Oreochromis niloticus: one gene and its partner. The protein of the gene in region 1 interacts with the protein of each later gene in a biochemical or structural test. Links are inferred from orthologs where the notes say so. Each region holds a gene or a part of one and is shown in the gene's direction. Other genes may lie near its edges.

Region 1 (6,928 bases):
CCTGCTTTCACTGATTTGGTTGATGGGGAAACCAGTCAGTGGTACAAACCAACGTTTGGATTTTGTCCAGCAAGAACTGCAACAGCTTCTCAGCAGGTTTAAATAAATCGCTTCTACGGAATCGAAACCTCTCTGTCAACTCCTCATCAAGTGCACTGTATGTCCATCGCCAATAAGTATACATCATCTAAAATCCTGCAAGCTGTACAGTCGATACCTGGAGCTTGCTGTTGCCTTTAGTGTTACAAGCTGTGTAGTCTGAGTAGCAACTATAGAAAAAAACTAGATTTTGACTTTAAGCCTGGCTATATCATCTTTCCACTGACTTTATTTTAACCCCTGTTTGTGTCTTTACCCTATAGGCTTTTTGTTTGTTGGGGGGTTTGGTTTTTTTGGACTAACCCAGCCTAAATTTTCTCCTCTGCTTTTAATCTTTATCCTTTGGTAAGATGAGATAAACAAATGGCGGCTGTAGCTTTTTATATTCTTTCACAGGCCTGTCGTATCATCCCCATAAAACAGAAACACAGATGAAGAGGGGCTGTAATGACTCACTGACCGAGACTGAGGATAAAATCTCCTCTTTCACAAGGCAACGTAAAAACACTTGAGATGAAAAAAAAAGAAAAATGTCACAGAGCTGCTCTAAACATTGGCTAATTAACGGACGTACGGCAATAGGCATTTGTTATCACAATCACATTTGTGGCTAAAGTCCTCCTGGCTAACTAACACAGCTGCACCCACTTACCATGTGAGTCCAGTGGAGCATGAAGTTAGCCATCAAAACAAAGGCCCAGTTACCCACTAATAGGGTCTCTGGAAAATTCTTGGCCTCTGTGGGTGGAAGGTCAGCACCTTTGGATTCATTGTTGTCACATATAACACCTTTAGTCATTATCACAACCATGCTGGCTCACAATAAGCAGTAGACACTTGCCTTATATAAGAAAAACAGCTATAGTTTACATTAATATTATACTGGGTTTCCATTTTCTCACTTTGTATTTTTGCCAATGTGCACTTATAATGTAAGCAAACTCAAACACGAGAAAACCAGCTGTCACCAAGCTGCCCACTACAGTTATGTATTCCAGTGGTCACTTGTGCATTATCTGTCTATCTTTCACATTTCAGAGTGTGAATGGGTACTGAGCTCACAGCAGCAGCTTTACAGAGACATAATTAGAAGGGAGAGGGTATGACAGATGGATTACAATCGTAATTGAGAGTGTGGAGAGTCTATCGTCCTAGCTGCACTGCACCTGCTTTGTCTTTGGCATAAACAGCAGACGAGGTAAGAATTTGTCTTCTCATGCAGCACGCCTGTAGAATTACAACATGTCTTTTTTTTGTCTCCTTACAGGCACTATTTCTGGTTACAGTGGTACAGAAAAGCTTGGATAGCCCTGATTTTTATTATTCCAAAGCAGATGGTACAAAATGAGACAAGGGAGCCCAGCAGCTCAGTGACCTTCATGTTGCTAATCTAACAATGCCCCTACATTGATCTAACATTAACACCTCACCCCTCGCAGAATATGCATGACTCCAAACAGGCTGGTGGCCTGTGTGTTTTCGAACAAATCACCTCGACGTGCAATTACCTCCTGCTCTGGAGTTATTTCTTTCCTGTGGATACCGTCGCCCTTTCATTCGAGTCTGGGAATTAAACAGGTTTCCAGGTTAATTAATTTGACAGACAGAGCCCATTGTGCCTAGTGTCTGCCCAAAAAGAAACCTTATTGCCTCTTGTCCTGGATGTTGACTTTTTATTGTTCTTGGATTCGTCGTTCTTTAGTGGAGCACACAGTGCCAGCCCCTGTAATTGACTTGAAAAAGACCGTATCGAGCAGACAAGTTATTGAATGCTTGAAACAAAAGCTCTGGCTTTTTCAAAGGAGACCATAATTTATCTGACAGGATGCCTGTTAAATATTGTGCACCCCTGCCATGTGAAAACTATGACTCTATTTGGTTTTTTGGTCAGCTGTGTATTAAACATAAACCTCTCATTCCTCTTTCTTGTTGCTTCCTACTTCATCCCATGATGAAAGTGAAATGGAATTTGTTTGAGTGCGCAGACACGTGACTCTGTGTCTGTATAAAAGCGAGGAAGGGGAGAGAAAGAAAGGATCCAAACCAAAGTGTAATCTCAGTCTAAATCACACAGCCTCCCCGGGGAAAAGGCCCCTCTTCCTGGGGTTAGTCAGTGAATTAAATCACGGTGAGGGCCCCATTTTTCAAAAGTAACCTTTCCATTGACAGTGTAAGTGGGAGTCTCACCGCCGAGTCCGAGCCGGGGAATTAGTGTCGTGCGTTGCGACACCAGTCTCTCCGGGTGTCATTTGTAAAGGCTGTTGCTGCATTTTTCCAGTCCTGCCTTCCTGTCTGTCTCAGTGTGCTCACTGTGGAGGTGGCCATCTGCCTCCCTCCCCTCTCACATCCCTGGTTTCTCTCCTCAGCAGTCTGTTCCCTGCAGTTCCCACACAGTTTCCTTAAATGTATTTTTAGTGCATCTCATGAATTTTGGCCCCAGTGTACAGTATGTGCACCCAAAACCACATTGGACATGCACGATTTGCCTGTTGAAAGATATTCATGTACTCAGCGTGGCTAATGAAGATAAATACACTACATGGCCGGATTAGGCTCGAATTAATCTCAACTTAATTAATTAGAAATTTGTCCATCCAAGCCTGTAATGTCAATAGGACATGTTTCAATTAGAACTACATCGCCTTTTCTAATCTTTTAATTGAACAGAAACTAATGGAATGAACACGTTCATAAAATGGGATTCCATGCCTCATAATCATTTTCACGATAAAGCAACTCTCTGAGGCTGCTTATTATTCAAAGATAAACCAACTTAAGGGACTTATCCTGTAATCCACTTCCTGTTTCCTGTTTCCCAGAGTGCTGCTGTACTTTGCTTTTCCACCAACAATGTGGATGCTGTTGCTGCATGTGTGTTGGCTGGCTCACGAGTGGTCAGTTTCTAAGGTTACTTGAAAATGAAGGCTTATGCATGAATTATGTATTAACAGAGTGCTCAGCGGGCACCTCTTCTCTCGCTCCCCTTCTCTCCACGTAACCCACTGAACATGTACTCATTAGCAGAGACTACAATGATTATTGTTGTTATTTTGAATGTGCGATTTACTTTGAATGCCAAGCAGAAACTACCTTTTTAATTAATGCCTCAAATTGCCAAGTGAGTCCCTGGCTAATGCATGCCCACAAAAGCAAATTATCATAATCTGCTTGTTTGTAAAAGTACCATCTGTGCAATTAAATAGTTTGGTGATGATAGAGTTTTGTTAGGAAGATGTGAGGCCTCCGTGCTCCTAAAGGTGTGGGCAATTCTCACCAGTCTGTGGACCAGTATGTTTAGCCAGGATGATGATGATGATGTGCGTGTGTGGTAGAGGGTGTTGGGTGGGGGGTGATATGCGTGTATTTGTGGGGGCAGGAGGGTTGCACAGGATGAATCAGGAGTCTTCTGAAGAAGGGTTGCCTTGGAGACCAGCCTGGACCCCTCCAAACGTGTCTGCTATGCTCTCTCTCCCTCCCGTACCTCCCTCTCTGCTCCGTTTTAAAGGTGCATCAGTAATGAATCCAAAACTATTTCAGGAAAGCCACTTTTTAGTCGGCGGGTGAAGCCCTTCATACCTGCAGCTCTTCTGTGTTTTCATAATGCCACAGATCTCTGTTTCATGCCTGCCACCGTCAACATCAAAAGAAAAGAGGGGGGAAAACACTTTTGTGTGTATGTGTGTGTGTGTATGTGTGTGTGTGTGTGTGTATGTGTGTGTGTGTGTGTGTTTGAGGGGGATAACGGAGGGAGGGGAAGTAGGGAGACAGAGATTATAATGCTGAGATGCAGCCACTGAGAGGCACTCAGAGGAACAATTGTCTTATTATTCAAGTCTGTAAGTGCATTTGTTTGCCTTGTTTACCTTCTCTTCTGTCTGAAGACAGTGAGCGCTAACTTCCTGGAAACCTTTCCACAAAGTGATGCTAATCTTTTTTTCCCTTTTCCTTTTTCTTTTTTGCTGCCAGCTGAATGACGTCTCGCGTCGAAAGGGGGCTGAAAACTCGGCGCACACAGTGAATCCCTCGCTGTGACTCATTCATTTTGTATAAAGGCGACCGGTTGCGGAGACTGAGAAAGAGCCGGGGATTTAATTAGCTGGTTTTTCTTAGTCCACTGCTTAATGAACGCACGTTTGCGTTCACACTAACCGCGTTTTTCCTTTTTCTTTTAACCCACCCCCCCTCATTCCCTCCCTCCCTCCGTCATTCCCTCCCCTCCTTTGGAGACTGTGGAGATGATATGCACCCCTGGGAGACAAACACCACAGCCGAGCGAGCCATTCCTGCGCTCCCGTGGAGTTGTTCTGGGGAAGAAGAATGTCACCCACTTCTGCCGGTCCTAAGAAGTATTGATTTAAAGCGATAATTTCTACTACACGATACTTAAATTCTGGGCTTTGGGTTGTGAAGATATGCCAGTTCCTCGCAGCGGTTTCATTGTGTTTCTATTCGCTCTTTGGATTTAGCATAAATGGACAAAATTAGGCCAGATAATTTGCTGCGGGTTTTCGTCTCCTTTCAGTGATATTCTCTCTAACTAATGGATGTAGCCTCCCTTCCTGAGAGCGCTAAATTTCCGTTAGGGGCTTCACTATTCAACAAGCTTAACCGCTCACTCCTGGCTGTAAAACGATGGGCGCAGTTCGCCTGAGCCTTCTGCTGCCCCTTGGTTCCTCAGCCCAGCTTGTTGAATCTCCTCCCTGGTGACAAGAATGGGTTCGTTTTAGCAAACTTCTTAGCCTCTTCTGGTCTCATCATCGGCGGATCGCAGGCTTCTCCTTCCTAAAAGTTGATCATGGCTTGTCCCGGTGTACGCGTGAAGCTGAGCTTTATATGGAGGGTGTTTTGGCTTATGAGGACTGTGATAGATTTCGCGCTGCCTCAGGAGACTTATGCACCCCATTCGATACGGACTGAGGGACACCTGACCCTCGGCGGACTCTTCCCGGTGCATGCCAGAGGAATCGATGGTGCGCCGTGCGGGGACCTCAAAAAAGAGAACGGCATCCAGCGGCTTGAGGCCATGATGTACGCTTTGGACCAAATTAACCAGGACGAGCAACTCTTACCCAACATCACCTTAGGCGCACGGGTGCTGGACACTTGTTCGAGGGATACTTATGCGCTGGAGCAATCGTTAACTTTCGTGCAAGCGCTGATCACGAAGGACACCTCCGACGTGCGGTGCACTAACGGGGACCCACCGGTGTTTGTCAAGCCTGAAAAAGTGGTGGGAGTCATCGGAGCCTCGGCGAGTTCAGTATCGATTATGGTTGCCAACATCCTACGCCTCTTCCAGGCAAGTCTGAGCGTGTGCACTAGTTTTGTGGCTTTAAGATAATCGTATTTTTTCCACTATTGCAGCAGTAGTTTGTTGAATTTGGGGGTAAAAATGCGCTTTGGAGAGGGGTAAACGCAGTTTTTTGTTGCCCAAAAGCCGCTTGAAAGGACAGCAAAAGTGAAACAGCTGAAAACTGTGTCTGAGAAAAAACAATAAATAAATAAATAAATAAATAAGAGAGAATCCATCACGAGCAAGAATCTATTTTCAGATGGTGGTATTGGATTCGATGTGTTCTCACTGATGCCTCTCTCCATCTTAAAACGGGGCATAAAAGGAAGGTGAAGTGAGTTTGGGTGGTTTTTCAATCCACTAGACTGTGTGGATGAGACAGCTGAGAGTGCTGTTGCTTGTCCCCGGTGGTGCTGAAAGAACAGCTCCCGTCTGTTCCAGTCTCACTCCGGAGTCTGGATGAGTGGGCACTGACAGCCTGACACAATCACACCCAAACTCAACAACCCCCTCCTGAGAATAAAAGGCCTGTTTCATATGATTGCACATGATTATATGAACCTCTTGTACGTCAGACTGCAGGCGGTTTTATGAATTGTTTTGAACCTGAAAGCATTGAGTTATGCTTGAGTTTCCTTTTGCTTTTACCTACGGGGGAAGAAGCGGGGGGGGGGGGGGGCTTCCCTTCTGCAAAATGAGCTTGTTTCCATCTCTTCACAGCCTGATTGAGCTCGATGGCTGCAAGTAAATGAAAGGAATTCATAAGACTAATTTCCAAATGGCATACTTGAGCGTATAGGAAAACGTCTCTATTTCTGTTGGCTGAGAGTCAACTGATGGTGTTGGCCCACTGCTGGTGCTGCAGTGAAATGGGAAATGCAGCAAGGCACCAGTACAGAAAGATTAATTATTTAAAACACATCTCCATAGCAAAGTATTTAATTACTCAAAAAAACATGTGCATGCTTTTGCATAATTCTGTACAGTTTTTCCTGTGCGAGGAAAGTGGCATTTAAACTGGGGAGGAGCTGCATGCAGTGTTGGTGCTAATGATTTGTGGTTGCAGATTGTAAGTCAGAGTCTTGTCAGTCAGTGTTTTTGTTCCAGCTCAGTTCGACAAATTGTGTAAGTAGCTGGTTAATTGCATCTGTAAGACAGTCGGAGTACTTAACAAGCTTTTACCCCAACCACCGCCCAGTTGTCTTCCCTTTCTACTCTACAGACACGTACACATGCCACACATTTGTGTCTATATACATATATCTATATACATATTTATTTCTATTTGTTCATTTTTTATATCCGGGTTTTGTGGTTCCTTTTGCCGGACTGATCGTCCCCACCACAACACCACAATCTTCAGCCTAGCTTTAGTTCCTGTTCTCTCTTTGTAGGCTCACTTAATAAATTAAATTTTTATTATTACAAGATCTTCAAAACCCTGCAGTTATGCTTTGAAGCATAACTGCACTTGTTATTTTGTTGCACGGCACGAGGGTTGCAAGAGTTCCTCAGTTTTGTGCAAGCTCTGTAACA
Region 2 (7,938 bases), on another chromosome or scaffold:
ACAACATCTACAGCAATATTTAGTTAAAGAGAGTTTTTTCATGGTTCAGGGGTTGCTCTGCAGAGGATGGTTGATGCTAAAGTGTACAATTTGCCAGAATTAGCCCATTAAAATGAAGAATGTTCCCTTTTTTAAAGAAGGAAAAGACATTTAGTCTTTTCATTTAAATATATATCTTTAAACTGCTTAAAAATATAACCTGACGTTATGCTAGCTTCTAGCTTTGCTTGAAAGTGTTAAAAATAAACCAGATGACACAAACTAAAAAACTTAAAAGTCAACCAAACGCATCCAGAGGTTGAGGGATATGAGCAAGGAATGAACAATCTTTACAATGGATCTCTCTGCATCCTTCAAAATAACCCCTTTTATTTTCTACTCCGCTCAAGCTCTCAGATCCACATTATTCAGCTCAAGTTGCTGAGAAATACATTATTAGAATGAGAAGAAGACTTGAGAATGAATGAGCGTTTTTAGTTTAGCACAAGTATTTTACTGTTTATTAGTGTTAATATTTTCAGTTCCACCTGGAGGTCACCTGGGTCAAATATGCCCATAATTCCCTAACCTCCTCTTCCACCAGGTTGTGTTCATTCAAAGCCTATCTAGGGTAAACTGCTGATCTTTTTTAGCCTTAATTGCCTGTTCGATCAATCCCACTCCATCTTCATTGCTGTTGGCATCTGTGGAAGTACATGAAAACAGCCTTGCTGCAAACAGCAGAACAGAATAAGCAGGTGACAGATCGTTGTTGGACCGTCTATGCTGCAGGTCAAAAGGTTTTTTTTCCCTCTAAAAATATTCTCTCACAAACTGAGTCTAACAAACCAAATTTCATTGGACCATTTAAAATAGACACCATAGTTAACCCTGCCTCTGGATCAAACTATGGATCAAATTGGATCATTCTGTGGATGGATCAAGGATCAAACTGTGCTCCTCATGCTATTCCTGAGCCATTTCTGTTTTGTGGCAGGGCACATTATTGTGATGAAAGAGGCCAAAGCCATCAGGGAGTACTGTTTCCATGAAAGGATGTTCATGGTCCATAACAGTGCTTAGGTAGGCAGTACATGTCAAAGTAAAGTCCGCATGGATGGCAGGATCTAAAGCTTCCCGGCAGAACATTTCCCAAAGCATCACACTGCCTCCGCCAGCTTGCCTTCTTCCAATAGTGCATCCTGGTACCAGGTGTTGCCCAGTTAAGCAATGCAAACTCACCCGGTCCTCCAGGTGATGTAAACGAGAACCTGATTGATGAGACCAGGCCACCCTCTTCCATTCTTCTGTGGTCCAGTTCTGGTGCTGTGTTGGACAGGGGTCAGCATGGGCACCCTGAGTGGTCTGTGGCCATGCAGCCCTATATGCACCAAACTGTTATGTGTATTCTGACACCTTTCTGTCAGAACCACCATGAACTTTTTTTTTGATAATCTGCTTTAAAGTAGCTCATCTCGAAATACACAAGCCAGCCAATGAGACTTGGGTCCCCATGACCCTGTTACTGATTCATCACTGTTTCTTTCTTGGACAACATTTGATAGATACTGACAAATGCAGACCAGGGACGCCCCAAAAGAGCTGTACTTTTAGAGATGCTGTGACTCAGTCGTCTACCCATCACAATTTGTTCCTTGTCAAACTTACTCAAATCCTTACTATTACACATTTTTCCTGCTTCTAACACATCAATTTGAGGATGAATAATTCACTTTCTACCTAATATATAGGAGTGAATTTTTAAAAAAAACTATCGATTTTCTGATCCAAATCTTAGTTTGAATAATGTGAAATCAATTAATTAAATCCTCAATGGATTTTTAAATATAAGTGTATTTTGCCAGAAATGCCAAAATATCAGGTGTAAGCTCACAAACAATTTTAAAAAAAACCCAGCTAAAACGGCAAATGAGAGCAGGTAAAAGGATTCTACAAAAAGACGCTGTGCTTCACTTCAGCAGCATCAGGTAATGGTCATTTGTTGAGTCATGGTTTTCTTCAGTTTTTGTTCCACTGCAGAATATTTTTAAGGTTATCTGCTATTAAAAGCCAGGCCAGGAAAATCTCCTTCATATTTTTCAGTTTTATTCTCAGTTACTTTGACTCAAAGGCATCTGCTGTGATGTTTACACCTCTGAAGTCTCACAAGTATGAGATATGTTTTTATACATATATATAACTATATGGATATGTACTGTTAAATGATCAGAATTATAATGTGACTCAAAGACTGCAAGGTGCCCAGGTCCTGTGGCAAGTTTGGTTTTCACCAATTGTGTTGTGCATTACGGCCAAAAATCTTTGGTCTTTTCTGTCTAATTCAAATTGTTCTAAAAGTCTTGTGGTTTATTTACATCAAACTTTCCTAACTTAAGCTGTGTTGCCATGTAGAAGAAGCTTTCACTGACCACCATTCCAAGCACGCTATACTTTTAATCTTTTTTTTTTTTTTAATTGAACTGTCATGAACTTCAACACTTAATATGCCAACTGAGCAGCTACTTACTCTCCTGATTTCTATTGAAACAATAAGGGAGTCTAAAGCACTCTGAGCTGTTTGAGAGACCAGACTAGAGCTATGAAAGTCATGTGAAAAAGAAAGTTTCCACTGGACTCTGTGCAGTCCTGTACACCAAATCACCAGTTAACCTAACATGCATTTCAAAGGAAACTGGAAACCTATGGAGGCACAAGTAACATACAAACTCCACAAAGAAAAGTGTTAACCAGGAACCCTCGTGCCCCACATGCATTTTGTATCATTTGGAGCCATTTTTCTCTGCATGTTTTATCTGCATGTTTACATAACTATAAATAATCAGTCATTGGATTTAGCAAAGAACTAATATATTTGCATTTTCTTCTATTGTTCTGTATCATACTTTTACTCTTTCATGCCTCGACTTATACTGTGTTTGTGAGAGGCTGCAAAACCTTAAAGATGACAAAACATGATTATTTGACTGTAAACATTTTATATCATTTTTGCACAACAGGACATTTTAAATCACTTAAATGTATTAATTTCTCTTTATCTCTTAATGATTCTTCAGTCAATAACTGACTGTTATTGTAAGAATAACATTCAGACAGTCAAACCTCATCTATAACTAAAGTGTTAAACACAGCATCTGTTTACTACAGTTGTATCTCTTAGCAGATCTTAAAGGATTTCAGTTTGAAGTCCCCCGTGACTCTGATGTAGCTGATGGTACCCATACCAACACGATTTGGAAACTGGACTTCCTGTCCATCAGGAAGTTCCACCTCAAACATGTCTTCAGCCAGCTTCAACACAATCTGAAACAGAAGAAAAATTAATTCATAAGTAAACATTTTTTCCAAGACACAATCAATTGCAACCCAACTTGCATCGCCCAGCTTAATATCTGCAAGAGTATTAGTGTGTTTTTTGTGTTTTATGTGGGTAAATCAAATATCCATTTGATCCAATCAAAAACCTTTGTGATATTTTTAATACTCAGACACTCAGTACATCATCATTTACTTCGATCACATTCCCTCACCTTGACATCAGCACCCCTCTGTAGGGGGTTGTGAATTTCCCGTTTTTCATCGCCCCAGCAACCAGCAATCTTTGAGTTGCACACCAGCACAGCACCATCAGTGTCATCATGGAACCGAGGATTGAAGTGCAGTGCCAGGTCATCTGCATCACAGCCGAGATCAATCTGGAATCTGTTGATCAGACGTTGTACAAACTTGATTTTAATATCAATGGCTTGCAGAGCTTTGAACACATAGATCACACAGTGGAGTACAAAATATAATATAATTTGTAAAAGTCCACTTTGTGCTAGATTAGATTTTCCTACTGCAGGATTAACAGCATATGTAGCTTTCATTCAATTTATATGGTTACTGTATGGAAAAAATAAATGAGTTTTGTTAGCTTACCTCTCTGCATCATGCAGAATTACCCCTTTTATTTTCAGCTCATCTCCAGCTCTCAAATCCACATTCTTCAGTTCGAGTTCCTGAACACATGGTTAGAATATAACCTGAAGAAGTCTTGAGAATGAAATAACTTTGCATTTTCAGTTTTGCAAATAATTTATTAAAGGGTAAAATGTAGTTAATTTGCTGACATGTAGTGGCATACACAAACCTAAGCTTACCATACTCATACTGGTTGCTGGTGAACAGTCCTGGATGATGGAGTTTCAACAGAGGTACAGTCTACTGTGCTGGGAGAAAAAAAGGTAAATGGGGTAACTGTGAATTCTAGTTTATTTATGATGCAAGACATGAGTTTAAGTAAGATTCTCTTTTAACACTGACTCATTCAACATCATCATCATCTTTGCCAAATACTATATTCAGTACAAGCACTACTCTGTTTAATCACCTGTAACAGCAAATTAGTAAATGAACAAATTAATGTGCTTTTTCTATTTTTCATTGGAATTCATTTTGCACATTAATAAGGGCCTTCAATATACTGCAGATGACTCTAGAACAAAATAATCTATACTAGTGTACCATACCCATGCAATAAGTCTATTTTGCAACAATTGTATTTGTATGCTTCACAAATAAAATTTCTACAAACAAGATCATTAGTCAAATCTACATCCCTTTTCCCATCAAAAACAGTCTGTAATAATATTATATTTGACAAATTTCATGCAGGTGCAGGTTGACACTCTAACCACAGGATGGCAGTAAAACGCGTAGTCTAAGTTAGAAACAAGTGAATCCTGGAAGGACTTTGATTAAATCTGGAAAATACAATGACAGTGTTTTCATATGAGCTGATGAGAAGTTTAAAAGAAATAATCTGTATCATTTACACTGAGGAATATGGAATTATAGACTCTAAGACAAAACTAGAAAATGATCATCCAGTCCTTCCTTTGGTAATACGTCTTAACAACAACTTCCGTCATCCTGCCGGAAGTGACAAAATAAAGTAAATAGAAGCTGTCTTTAGATCGAGAAGTTGAGATAATTGCGAATAAAAAGGGCGATTCAACAAAAGATATTTTGATTTTATGCACACTAAAGAATATCTTTATGACGACTCTGTGCGACGTCTAAGAAAGGTAAATTGTTAATGGCCTGCTGACGTTTCAGGGGACAACATTAGCTAAATACACCTGCTATTAGCCTACAGGCTAGCAGCTAATAATCCAACTTACTGACCTCGGTCACTGTAATGAAATCTAACAGTGACTGGTTTGTGTGTGCATGCAGATATATTAAGTGCAACAGTTACATTAATTAAAACGTATTTAAATGGTTGTTGTTAGGATGTTAGCATGCACTGCGGGTTACCAGCTGTTTGCTCTGCTCCAGCGTTTCCTCACTGACTCCACAGCGATTAAATTTGCCGCATCAGGAAAGCAAAGCTGCCAATTTTGGTGATTGTCGATAGTCCATCTGATTATAGACTACTTTCAAATTCGCCGGTAGCTCAAACTCTTAAACGTGTTCTGATTGTCACTCTTTTAATGAGCGTTTCTTGGGTTTTCTGATCACTAGATCCAGTTAAAACTTCCTTTGATTTCTGTTTTATTGTACTCTGTCGCAGGTTTCTGAGGGACAGGAGTGACGCTGTCCTGCAATGTTCACAGATATGGACTATGAATTGGAGGAGGACAAACTGTGAGTCATTAATGAGCTTTCTCTACCCATCCAGGCGAATCACATATGCTTCTCATACATTATAAACATAAAACATTATTAAACATCTAAAACAGTAACTGATAGGGTGAATGTCTTGATATAAACTGTGATACAGTTCCCTCATTACAGAATGTCCCAGAATAAGCTGAACAAAATGCTTCAAAACTCAATTTAGTGTTTTTTTTTCTCTCTTAACAGGGGGATACCAACAGTGCCTGGGACTGTGACTCTGAAGAAAGATGCTAATAATCTTATAGGCATCAGCATTGGTGGTGGGGCTCAGTACTGCCCTTGCCTCTACATTGTTCAGGTGCACACAGAATAATTTATTATGACTTTATTTATTAAAATGTCATCTATAACCAGATATTTCTATCATGCTTTAAATGTTATAAGACTGTATCTGTCTCAGTTTGCTGTTGTTTGGCATATGGGTCATTAAATGCAGCTTTATCGCCTCTTTTTCAGGAAAAATAACTGTACTTTGTCACGGTTTTTTAAATGTGGTTGCTGTTGCTTTGCAGGTCTTTGATAACACACCAGCAGCTTTGGATGGGACGCTGGCAGCAGGTGATGAAATCACAGGTGTGAACGGGAAAGCAGTCAAGGGCAAAACTAAGGTGGAGGTGGCCAAGATGATTCAAGCTGTGCAGGTACACAGACTCTGAAAGTGGGAGGTTATTAAAAACTCAGCATTACACTATTGACCATAACTGCTATTTAACATTGAATATTACCAGTGTGATAATAATGCACACAGTTTAGAATAATAATACAGTCATTTGTGCATCTGTAGCTACAAAAACGCTCACCACTTCCATGCACACTGAAGAAAAAGATGCATTCGACTGATAGCTTTATTAGCCTTTTCAGATTTTTGGTAGTTGTTGTGATGTGATGATTATTTCCATGGATTATTTTGAATAAAATAATAGTATCATTGCAGTGAAAGTCTTATGACAGCCCTGTTGAAATAATGATGTTAACATGAGCTCTATTATTAAACTCCTGTTTTTAATCTTTTAAACCTAAAGACAGCGACTCATCATACTCACCCTCACCTCTGATGACCAATGCCCCATAATGAATAAAAAAAAGAACCAAACCATAGCTTTACTTGCATGTTGAAACACTGTGTGTCATTTAAAAGAAATTTTGAAAAGAATTCAAAGATGACTCACTTTTTTATGTCCAGCACAGTCCAACAGTTAGTGAGATATGAGTGTAAGCCCACCTTCCCACTGCAGACAGGACACTGTAGGAGTGACTTCACTGGTTTGCTAAGCTGTGCTGAAGAGGTCGGGACAATAGCCCGTAGCATGTGGCGTACCATCACCGGTGAATAGTGGCGCTGTTGTTTTTGGCATCCTTTGTTCACAACCCAAAAAATTCCATGACTTCCTGCGTGGTGGGATAAAGATGGGGTTCAGTGTGGGATTAAAAGGATTAGGTGGTGTTGCTGCTGCCCGTCACTGAAAATACATTTCACACTTAACACCATAAATGTTGCACATTATTAATTTTAACTTATGTACTAAGGTGAAATGTTACTTTCTTTGAAGCATGCATAGCAGTGCTTTGTACTGCATTCTTGCATAATCTCAACAAAAGCTAACACATAGTTCTATTTCTTATATTTAGTACTGCTACAATAGATGCTCTTCCTTTCACCATCCCATGTTTATATTTATTTATTTGGGTTATTTAACTGTTGATCCTATTTTCACAGGGAGAGGCAGTAATCCACTACAATAAGCTGCAGGCTGATCCAAAACAGGGGAAGTCTCTGGACATAGGTATTTATGTTTATGTTACTTCCTTTGAAGCGTGCACTGCAGTGCTGTGTACTGCATTCTTTCAGATTCTCAACAAATCTTTTTCACTGCTGCGTTAGTTTGTGTTAAACATTGATATTTTATATGTTTCAGTGCTGAAAAAAGTCAAACATCGACTTGTAGAGAATTTGAGCTCAGGAACAGCGGATGCTCTTGGACTCAGTAGAGCTATTCTATGCAATGGTAAGACTGCTAGGATGGTAACTGCAGGTTTGTTCATATCTACTTAGATTTAACTCGTTGTACTTTGCAGATGGACTTGTCAAAAGACTGGAAGAGCTGGAGAAAACGGCAGAGCTGTACAAAGGTAACGAATGATAAGATTCTTTACCTAAACAAGTTAATCATGTAGTGTGAAAACTCCATAATCACAGATATGAGAGAGCTTTTAATCCACAGAGATCCTGTTGTTCTCTGTTTGCGTTGCAGGGCTGATGGAGCACACGAAAAGACT

The links. The genes of interacting proteins can lie anywhere in the genome.
Region 2: the proteins of metabotropic glutamate receptor 7 (region 1) and pick1 form a complex in vitro, tested with the Homo sapiens proteins (2 studies listed by BioGRID, with this or other methods). The link is inferred for Oreochromis niloticus from reciprocal best matches to the Homo sapiens genes GRM7 and PICK1.

The regions. Positions count from the first base shown.
Region 1 is NC_031984.2:15,464,698-15,471,625, reverse strand, and holds the start of metabotropic glutamate receptor 7, read left to right. Parts: upstream 1-3,897; 5' UTR 3,898-4,894; coding exon 4,895-5,398; intron 5,399-6,928. UniProt on the Homo sapiens protein: G-protein coupled receptor activated by glutamate that regulates axon outgrowth through the MAPK-cAMP-PKA signaling pathway during neuronal development.
Region 2 is NC_031969.2:9,657,654-9,665,591, reverse strand, and holds the start of pick1 (PRKCA-binding protein), read left to right. Parts: upstream 1-4,899; 5' UTR 4,900-5,066; intron 5,067-5,298; exon of another isoform or gene 5,299-5,547; intron 5,548-5,554; 5' UTR 5,555-5,587; coding exon 5,588-5,628; intron 5,629-5,847; coding exon 5,848-5,959; intron 5,960-6,173; coding exon 6,174-6,302; intron 6,303-6,830; exon of another isoform or gene 6,831-7,253; intron 7,254-7,378; coding exon 7,379-7,445; intron 7,446-7,577; coding exon 7,578-7,667; intron 7,668-7,737; coding exon 7,738-7,791; intron 7,792-7,913; coding exon 7,914-7,938. Other genes in the region: galectin-2, read right to left, coding at 3,154-3,300, 3,528-3,699, 3,919-3,998, 4,140-4,148. UniProt on the Homo sapiens protein: Probable adapter protein that bind to and organize the subcellular localization of a variety of membrane proteins containing some PDZ recognition sequence.